2 linked regions of the Drosophila melanogaster genome follow. The protein of the gene in region 1 purifies or fractionates together with the protein of each later gene. This does not show direct contact. Each region holds a gene or a part of one and is shown in the gene's direction. Other genes may lie near its edges. The genes, in order: apolpp and Fas1.

The links.
Region 2: the proteins of apolpp (region 1) and Fas1 fractionate together in Drosophila melanogaster (co-fractionation; one study listed by BioGRID). This does not show direct contact.

Annotation. Positions count from the first base shown.
Region 1 is NC_004353.4:1,059,011-1,064,132, forward strand, and holds the start of apolpp (apolipophorin), read left to right. Parts: upstream 1-1,958; 5' UTR 1,959-2,126; intron 2,127-3,667; exon of another isoform or gene 3,668-3,909; intron 3,910-5,122. Other genes in the region: Zyx (zyxin), read right to left, coding at 91-341, 409-826, 1,403-1,594. UniProt on the Drosophila melanogaster protein: Constitutes the major component of lipophorin, which mediates transport for various types of lipids in hemolymph. Acts by forming lipoprotein particles that bind lipoproteins and lipids.
Region 2 is NT_033777.3:16,623,267-16,628,333, forward strand, and holds the start of Fas1 (fasciclin 1), read left to right. Parts: upstream 1-1,971; 5' UTR 1,972-2,076; intron 2,077-2,702; 5' UTR 2,703-2,845; coding exon 2,846-2,950; intron 2,951-5,067. Other genes in the region: Ccdc114 (Coiled-coil domain containing protein 114), read right to left, coding at 1-63, 137-645, 776-1,071, 1,130-1,354. UniProt on the Drosophila melanogaster protein: Neural cell adhesion molecule.

The DNA of each region.
Region 1 (5,122 bases):
TAATTTTTGTCGTGCACTTCTATTAGATGAATAAGATTGTTTATCAGACAGAAATATACTCCAGAGTAATGAACTTCAGATTTTGTGTACCTTGCCTGTGGCATCATGCTGCATCGCATATTGGTTTGCATATATTTGTAAAGGATTCGTTGTCTGGTTATTTTGTAAATAATCAATTGGTTTGTTGAATTCCAAAGTGGCGTGACGAAGCTCACTGTATGAAGAACTCACAGCGCTCTCTGGACTAGGTGGTGGCGGTAACTCATCTTTTTCGTTGTCTGAAATAAAATTAGTGCAGACGGATAGCATCTTTTGCGTTGAGCTATGAGAAGAGTCCATTGCTTTGACATTTAAATTATTTTATAATTAATACTATACAATTTTTATATAAGCATTACATAAACATACCAGTTTCATTAACGTTTGAATATGTACTCGCAGAAATCTTAGTTTCGTCTGTTAATAGTTCTAATGTTTCTATTTCTTTGCGAACAGAACCTAAATTAGAATATATTAAGCTTTTGCTTAAAGTCTTTGAAAGGGGCTTTGTAAAGCTGTTGAGAGGTTGTGTTGGCTTAGCTTGTACTCCCAAAAGACCCTTTTTTTCCATTTGAAGTTTATGGTAAGCAAGAGCTTCTAATTGCTGTTCCAAAATTGCCGGATTATCTAAAGTTGTTTTTCTGTTTATTTGAGTATCAGCAACTCCGAATTCAGAGCTGAGGTATTTTCTAAAAGGCATATGCCCCCTCATTGTTTTCTCGACTCCAATCAGAGGTTGTGAATATAGTGGTTCCCGCGAACACAAAACCTGTCTGCTTGATGGAACCTGAAATAAATAAATATTTATGCTTAAGTATACGTTATTATACACAGTTTTTCAGAATAATAACTTTTTATAATACAGGGTATAATAAGGGTATTATAAATAAAAACTAAGATGTGACATGCAGATTTTAATGACTTTGTACGCTGTGCAAAGTTCTAAATATTGCCACAGTTTGCACAGTTTGGTTTTTACCGAAGTGAAAAAGGCATGCGATAGATATTTAGGTACTGGTACAGTTAAGAATATCCCCTAAATTTACATATGTATACTTAAAACAATATTTACTTAAAAATTGATTATGTTTTTTTTAATGAATTGCTCCTGATATGTCGTGTAACAATCCATTAGTCTGTACTTGTTTTTGATTTCTGTCATCTGAATGGTAGCAAATGTTCGCTCACAGTCCAGCCGATCAATAATATATAAGTATATTACATATGCTTTTGTAGAGGGACGGAAATACCCTCTAAAACGGTACAATAACGGACTTTAAGGCTTAAAGAACAAGCCTTTGAGGAGAATCAATGAATTGCTTTGTATATAACACAAACTGGCTATACTAAAGTATGTATGTACCTGAGGCATTTCATTATATTTTATCGGCGGCTTAGGAGGTATATCCAATCTCCTCTTTACTGATGCATTTTGATTATTACTTATCTTGGCGACTAGCTTCGCAACTTTTCCATGTCCAATACATACAAGCGGTGAGCCTGTGTCACCTTTTGGAAGCGACAGCTCTCTAAGTTGCTGGGCCACAGACTCCATTGAAATTTAACAAAACGCGATTCCGTTTTCCTACAACAATAATAAAAACCTTTTTCTAATTTAAATTAAATCAAACATTCAAAGTCGTGAAATTTTAATTTAATATTTTCACTCCTTAACATTAATGAAATTACACCTGTAATGATGATAGTTTGGTTTGTTTTTAACCTGCATATAATTTTACTATATGTATAAAACAATTATTTTTATAAAATTATTGACATTTCAATACTAAGTGGAAATAAAACTATCGCTTATCGAATTTATGAGGCCCAGCAGTGTGACCTTAACACGAGAGCTAGAAAATCATTCTAGGCGCATAGGCTCGTATTCGAACTTATTAAATATGTAGTACTCACTTCGTACAATCGCTTTATATCTCGAAAGCTAATAAGACCATAGACACACTTAAGCGAGATATTGAAGCTAAATCCATATAAAACATATATATGTAGTTTTGCCTAAACGGCACCTTGGCAATCAAAGAAAATAATCCTAATCTGATTATAGGCGGACTATAAGTCAATGTAAGGTATTGAGAGAACTAATTGTTTGATTGAGACTACTTTAGTACGATAGAATAAATGAATAGAGTGTGAACAAATTCATGCCAAAGGACTTTAATTATTACATAAACATTAAACCGTGCGTTGAAACAATATTGTTATGTATTTTTATTTATAAATCTTAAAATATCAACGAAAAATTCGCCAAAAACATCGATGTCCACCAACATCGATGTTTCTCCACCTCTAACCTAAGTCCTAGAATCGAACTAATCCCAAGTGGGTAACGTGTACATTTTGTTTATTTTAGCAGGTATAGTCACTCCAACGAACAATCGGACACGTGCACTCTTATATAAGATGTGTCTCAAAGTGTCAGTCTGTATGACCTTCCCTGTAAGCGTATAGATCTCAGGAACTATAAGCTAAAAAGTTAAGATTAAGAATGCGTACTGCAGAGACATACGCGCAGAGCCAGTTTGCTTTCATGCCCGCTCTAACGCAGATGTACAAACCGCACAAAATTGCTACACCCATACCTTTCAAAAATATTTGTTTTTTTTATTATATATTTTTCTAATTTCTATCGGTTAACCAATAACATTTTGGCCACGCCCCACAAACCCTCCGAAAACTCCCACGCCCACACACTTTTGAGGAATAATTTTATTTGCATGGATTATATAATTTATTTTGCCTAGCGATGTACCCCAACGCCACCTTTCCAATCCGTCACGAATACATTTATGATATATTTCGATTTATTTATTAATATTTTTTTTTTTAATTTTTTATCGAAATGCCGATAAATAAGGAAATATTTTGCTCTTCCGTTTGTCGAGTAAGGGATATCTGACTGTCGGGGAACTTGACTATAGCTGTCACTGGAAAACTTTATGGGAAAGTTTCATTCAGGGATAATTAGTGAGACAAGTTTGTGTAGAAGCGAACGGATGGCAAAACAGACGATGAACGGCGATATCGACTCCACCGCTTTCCAGAAACTGATCAATAATTGATAAACCCCTGAACAAATTTTTAACTCAAATTTTTATAATATTTCCTTTGGGCCCAAACAAAACAAATGGCTGTCATGTAGGTGGCTTCCGATAAATTCGCTCACTCGACCACTGTTATTAAAAATATTTATAAGTTAACTTTATGAAATAAATCTCGTTTCAACATCATCCGAAATTGCATTTTTGTTCTTCTCCCAGACAAAGGAATTTTAAAATAAATTAAATCTGGTGCGGCTCTTTCAATTTATTTTTTCGTGATATTTGGTTCAGCTAATTTGCTAATAAATGTAAATGTAAATGCGAAGTCATATTACTTCATATTCAAGAAGAAAATTCTGTTCTCTTCTTATCTTCATGTAAGAAATTCACATTAAATACCGTGGAGGTCTGAATATAAATATTAATTTCATTGAATAAAGTTCCTCGTTAATATAAAAATGATTGCAAACCACAGTTGCTTGTAAATAAGTACCATAACGATATCCATATTTTTGAACACCACACCCAATCGTCTAATTGTTTGGCCCAATCGAAGCGAAATTAAGCTCGGTGGAGGAGTATTGTAAAGGATAGGGGAATGACCGATTTCTAAGGAGCCACATAATTAGGAGCCAAAATAATTATTAATTAATCAAATACCTTTTTAGTCAAGTGGTATAAAAACCCTAAATATGGGAAATCTATCATGAAAGGTGCACTTTTAAAAGGAAGCTGACTTGGAATCACTTCACATATGTACGGCCATAGAGCTCAATTCATCAGCGGAATCTTTTCAGAAAATGTGGGCACGGTAATCTAACTTTTTAATGGTTAAAGAAAAAAGATTTAAATGGTTGTAATCAGACAATCGTAACTGACATCCTATTCTACGCTTCTAAACAGTGGTCTCCTGCTGTCACAACGCACTATTAGTGATCATCTTCAAAGCGTGGACTTCCGTTTACGATGATTTATTTACTAACCGGGAACAATACAAGAGTAAACTTCTTTCGAACTGTAATTTTTTCTGTCCGATCACGCAGGCTGCCTTTCTGCGTGCTTATCGAGCAGCGTTTTGCTTTCCAGCAACTTTTAATTACAGATTAAAGTTTCTTATCAGTCGTTAACTGCAATTCAGGAACGAACTTTCATATAAACATATTTTATACATCTGTTCAAAATCAAATAAATATACATGTGTAAATATGTGTATGCATATTTTAAATACCTATGTACCTATGCTTGCATTTGTAAGCATACTTTCATCTATATGAAAAAAGGGCATAAAAATGTATAACAAATTCCATTACAGATGTGTGCAAACATGGATTGCAAGTGACAATCTCTGCAAATGCATATATGTATGTATGTATGTGTGTACTTGCGCATTCACATTAAATTTGGAATGATAACAATTGTTACATCGAATTTCTCAATACCTATACATAAAACATAATTGCTTTAGAGTTACAACTAGTTTTCTTATTTGCACATACAGTTTGTCAAGAAACTGTTTACACACTGTGAAATAAGTTGAATTTTTGACTTTAAAGGTAAAAACTAAGGGTTCTTTGCTTAAATTAAACGCAATTTTTTTCTAAAATATAATTAATCAATATTTATTTTACTTATGAATCAAAAAACGAATTAAAAATATTAATTATACAAGAAAATAAACAACAAATTCCAAGTTTACACACTTTTGAGACTGTCAAGTATATAAATATCAGTTTTCAACATTTATAATCACAATTATACTTTGCATTTCTTACAGTTTTCAACACCTTTAAGAGGAAAACGTAATTTGCGATTTGTTTATTACTTTATTAGCCCAAAGCCATATTTAAAATATTGAAAAGGTAGATGAAAGGATTTTGTACTACTAAAGTAATAGAGTGATTCGAACAATATTTGCTTTTAAGTTACATTTTTAATGGAGACTGTGGGTGGTTTTGGTAACATATGGCTTGCCAGAAAATGCGGTGAAGTGTAAATTAAAATGCTTAATTGGGTATAATAGGTCT
Region 2 (5,067 bases), on another chromosome or scaffold:
GATAGTCAAGTGCCTCGGTCTTAAGCTTCAACTCCTTCTCGGTCTGCTCCGATTTCTGGCGCTCTGTTTGGATTATTATGTACAAATTTTAGTATAAAGACTAGTCTATAGCCTAATTCAGAATCCAACAACACACCTATTTCATCTTGGAGCTCCTGAGTGGAATCGTTGAGTACTTCAACCTCGTGACTCAGTTCGTTTACATAGTTGAAAAGGGCAAAGTTCTCGTCCTCCTGACGCTTGAACTGGGCCACCAGTCGGTCCGCGTCCTCCTCGCCGTAGAGCAACTTGATCTTCTCGATGATCTCCTTGTACTCCAGAAGCTGCCTCTCGTAGGTCTCCTTCTGACTCTGCTTCTTGTCCAGCTCGCGCTGCTCCAGCTCCGGATTGAGGCGCTTTTGTCCCTTGATGTCGAAGAACTTCTGCAACTTGGCGTCGTGCTCCAGGCGGCGCTGCATCTCGCGCATCTCCTGGATGTGCATTACCTTGTCGTTCTCGTTGCGATCCTTTAGGACGGTCAGCTTGTTGCACAGCTCTTCTCTCTGGTCGAAAGCCAGTGTCGACTGGTCTATGAGATCCATGATGAACTTCTTGCCCTCGTTAAACTGGGTTACCATCGACTGCCACATGTCATTGAAGTTTGCCCTGGAGTGGAGTCGAAACGCATTAGCTCAATTCGGTATAAAAACCTAATAATATGGAGAGCACCTAGTTGACTTTTCATAAACCTAGTGTGTATTTTATAGATTGTATATATCTAGCGAGAAATGCTCACCGATCCTGCAACATGTGGTTTATGGCGTCCCTCATCTTGCTGTTTTCAGTGAGCACATCGCTGCATTTTTTGTTGACGACATCCAGGCGGTTCTCCAACTTGACCACGCTCTTCTGCACCTTGCAGATGGTGTCCTTGTAGCAGTTGTCGGGCACTTCGTTGCGCCGCAGGGCATCAATCTCCTTTTCCATTTTCCGGATGTGGCCCTCCAGTTCCCAGAGATTGGTTCGCTCATTCTGGAGCACCCTCTGCAAATCCGCCTGCTGTTCCTGCAAAGTGCCCAGGTGCTTCTCTCTCTGAAACCGATGTAAACCTTTTATATGTGGCTGACTAGTCCATTAAGTGGATATCTACATTGGTGTTCTTTCGCGCATGAGTACCACCTTCTAGAGTCTTGATCTCCTCCTTCAGCTTCTGGTGCTCCACTTGCAGTACGTTGATCATGTGATTCTGCTTCTTCAGGCGCTTGGCCTTCTCCTCGAGGAGACCCCGAAGGTCCAGCTGGAGACCCCGATGCTGGCGTTGCAGCCTCTGCAGCTCGGCAGTTGCCAACTGATCCAGCTCGCTTTGGTCAGTCATCGTTATTGGCTTTCTGAATTCGGTCTTTGCAATGGTATTGTCAAAACTGATAATGATATTAATTTGATTTCAATAGCAAACAAGCGTTGCTGGTGGCAAGTTGCTTAGTAACGGCGTGGTTTATCGAAGACTTTTACCATTTACTTAAAGTAAGAAGAACCAAATAGGTACACTGCTTGTTAAAATTCAATGTTATCTCCTTAGAAAAGTAAAAAAATAAGTGCTTGAAAATTATAACCGGTTCAATTTGGAATAAAATCTTTCAAACAGTAGAGACTCTGCTTAGCGGAGTTATCCACCGCATTCTGTCGTTGCCACATTTTGCGAAACGGTTAAAATGATTATTTATGCTTTTAAACGAAAAATGAGAAAATTTAAAGCAGTCTTCTTGTAATAATAATAAGATTGGATAAACAGACATTATTATAAATCTGACACAGAAGAGCAACGCAGCGCTCGATTTGTACTAATATTTTACCTCTAACAAGATTCGGAAAAGCATAAAAAGCACATAAATAAGAGTCACCGCCAAAGACATGCACAAATAAATATAAATGTTAAGCGATTTATTAACAGTGCACAGTGTTGCGATTTGAAACATCGACAGCTATCGATAACACTCGTTATCGTCACCACACGCTCGGCTTAAACCTGTTCTCCGCTTTTCGTTTTAATTCGAAAAAAACGTTCGAGCGTGGCGCACGTTGCGATTCCTCCGACTGGTACTTGCTCCCCTTATATTGAAACTCTGTGGAAAATCTATACTGTGCATAGGGCATAACTCTAAAATAGCTGCACGGCCCATTTCGCTGCCCTTGCTATTGATTTACCACCGCGCTGCGTTCGTTTGTGTGTGCTACTTAAAGAATTTGTGTGTTTTCCAAGTTTGGTCCGTGGACATTGCATAATTTCTGCGGCGGCCGTTAATGTTAATTCCTGCAGCCCGAGTTTCCGAGAATTACGCAGAATAAAGACCAGAGAGAAAACTATAAAATCGAAAACAGAAAAAAGTGCCGCAGCAGCGAAATGCAAAGGCGCATAATAATTAAACACACAGCGACGGAATGAAGAAAAAATAATACACAATAAGCGCAGCTTTGTTTCTAGTTAAATTGCGTTTGTGTTGTGCTTGCCGATTCCTCGGTGGTCCGTTTTTCGCTTGTTGTTCTATGTGACATAACGGAACTCTGGGCAAAAGCGAACAGGAAGCAGCGATAACCTTGCAAAAACAAAGAAAATACCAAGGAGGACAAAAAGCATGCCAAGCATATATCTGTGAAATAATATTTTCTTTTCCGAGGAAATGCTGTTTGTCGTCGGCTAACTGTTGTTTGCCTTTGAATTGCAGATCTTAATCGTAGAGCAGCACTCACACCAGCACACGCCCCCCGCAAAACAGCACACACAGCCACACTCACAAACGACGTACACTGCCAGCGCATAAACAAGTGCTGTTGTGGTTGTTGTTGCTGCTGCTGCTCGTCCGCTAAAATGCTGAACGCTGCAGCGCTGCTTTTGGCGCTGCTCTGCGCCGCGAACGCAGCCGCCGCCGCCGATTTGGCGGACAAATTGCGCGATGATTCGGAACTCTCTCAGGTGAGTCAGAAGAAGAAGAAGAAGCGAATAACGAGAACGTGGAGGATGAGGAGGTGAAAGGAGGTGGTAGAGTAAGAGCACGAAGAAAAGCAGTAGCAGCAGAAACAGTTGGTGCAAATAACCGAAACACTTGTCCGTAGTCAATTAAGCCCCCAGCACCACCCACCAAACGTCGCCCCCCCTCCCCCCGCTCACCCTTGGGTACAGTAGGGATTGCCTGCCATGAACATTAGTAATCCTTTTCTATCTTTGCAACCGATTAAATTAATGCGAAGAGTTACACTTCGAATATTTGTCAAAAGTATGTTTGTTTAGGTATCCGTACGCGCAACATGTAAAATTTGAACACATTCAGGGGCTTTTATTAGTCTAATATATCATTTCGTTGGAAAAGTATTTCTTAACTGCCTACATTTTATACAGTAATCAGTCGCATTTTTTCTGTAGCCAGGGAAACTGCCAAAATTAAAATAACTTTTGTGTGAGCAAAAAACAAACTATTTTTAGCAGACATTTATGCGTTTAAATAATTTTTTCAGCCTTTTGAATATGTTTCATATATTTCTGTGATGCCTTAATTTCTTCTCATGGTCGGATACCTTATTGCAATGATAAAATCAATTTTTTATTATGCCTGACTTGGCTTTGGCGAAGTCAATAAATTTACCTTGCCACCTAATAGTGGCAACTTATCAAAGTTCGGCTGTAATTGTGCCACCACCCACAAGACGCCGCCCCAATTCGTTGGCCTTGAAAGGAAAAGCCTTGGTGGAGTGTGCGAGGAGGCGGGGCAGATCGGGCGGGAAAAAGGAGCCTGCGCAAGAGGGACGCACCCGCATTTGGGCACAGGTAGCGTAGCCTTCGTTCCGGCAGCATCGTCCTTGACCTTTAGCCATCTCACTTGTTGTTGGACTGCGGAAAATCGATGATGCTGCCTAAAATCCCTGGCGGCAGTTCAGGTCCAGCCGACCGCTAAGCTCCACTTGGCCACATTTCGTATGCATGGCGGAGTTCGTTATGTAAAAATGAAAAGCCACATAAATTAAGCCCAGGTCTGCTGAATTGGCTCTCCCCAGCAAAAGGCAAATGGTAGAAAAAACGCCGGCCGTTGACGTCCACTGCGCATAACAGTTTTATATTTAGTTTTGCCTTTTTACACCTTCACAGGCCAACTCACATACAAAGTACATAGAAAACAAAAACACATTAATGTGTAAAAAACTCAGAAGCCAACAAAGGTGCGCGGCTGAAATAACAAGAACAACATGTGTAATGAATTCAAAGGCGGGGGTTCAGTCACCAGAAGGGGTATTAGCATTACACCAGGAGAAATATATATATATTTTTTTAATATGTTAAGGTTTATGGTAGCCCATTAAGCCACATAACTTATACTCAAAAAATAGAATTGATTTGAGTGGAAAATAGTAACATAGTTCGTCTATTGTAATTGCTTTTATCTTATATAGTAGGTGAAGTAGTAGTTGAATACGCGTTTTTAAGTAACTGACTTGAGTCCCTGCTTAATTTTCTAGTCTGCCTTAACACTGCATTTAACACCCGAAATACACGCTGCTTCAAAAGTAAATTAGACTTCCAAGTAAAAAGAAAGCGTGTGACAGACTGTAATTGTTGCAGCAAGTGTCTCAGGGAAGTAGTTGCATCCACACAGAAAAGGCAACCTTTTCGAGTTACAATAGGCGAAACAGAGCGTACAACTAAAAAAAATTAAAAACAAGAAGGGGGACTCGGCTTGCTCACTTGCACCCTTGCTTTAGGGCATTGTAACTTTGCCCAGAAGTTTGCCACTTTCGGAGCAAAGCATTTCCGGCCTCATATCTGGAGTACTGCTATACATGAGGGTGGGACCATTTGGTCGCCATAAAAAAGTAAGGGCGGAAAGTAATCTTCTGGCATTTATGCAAATTAAGTGCCGTAAAACTAATGGATCAAAAAGTCAGGCTTGGGAAATCCCTTTTAAAGTTACTTCTTAAGACTATGAAATAATCATTTTATTAATAATATGTCGTATTGCAGGTAGCTGCTTTCAATCCAATCCCCTTTTTAAATTTTGCGATTTATATATTTTCTCAGTTGTATTTAAAATGTAGACAAGA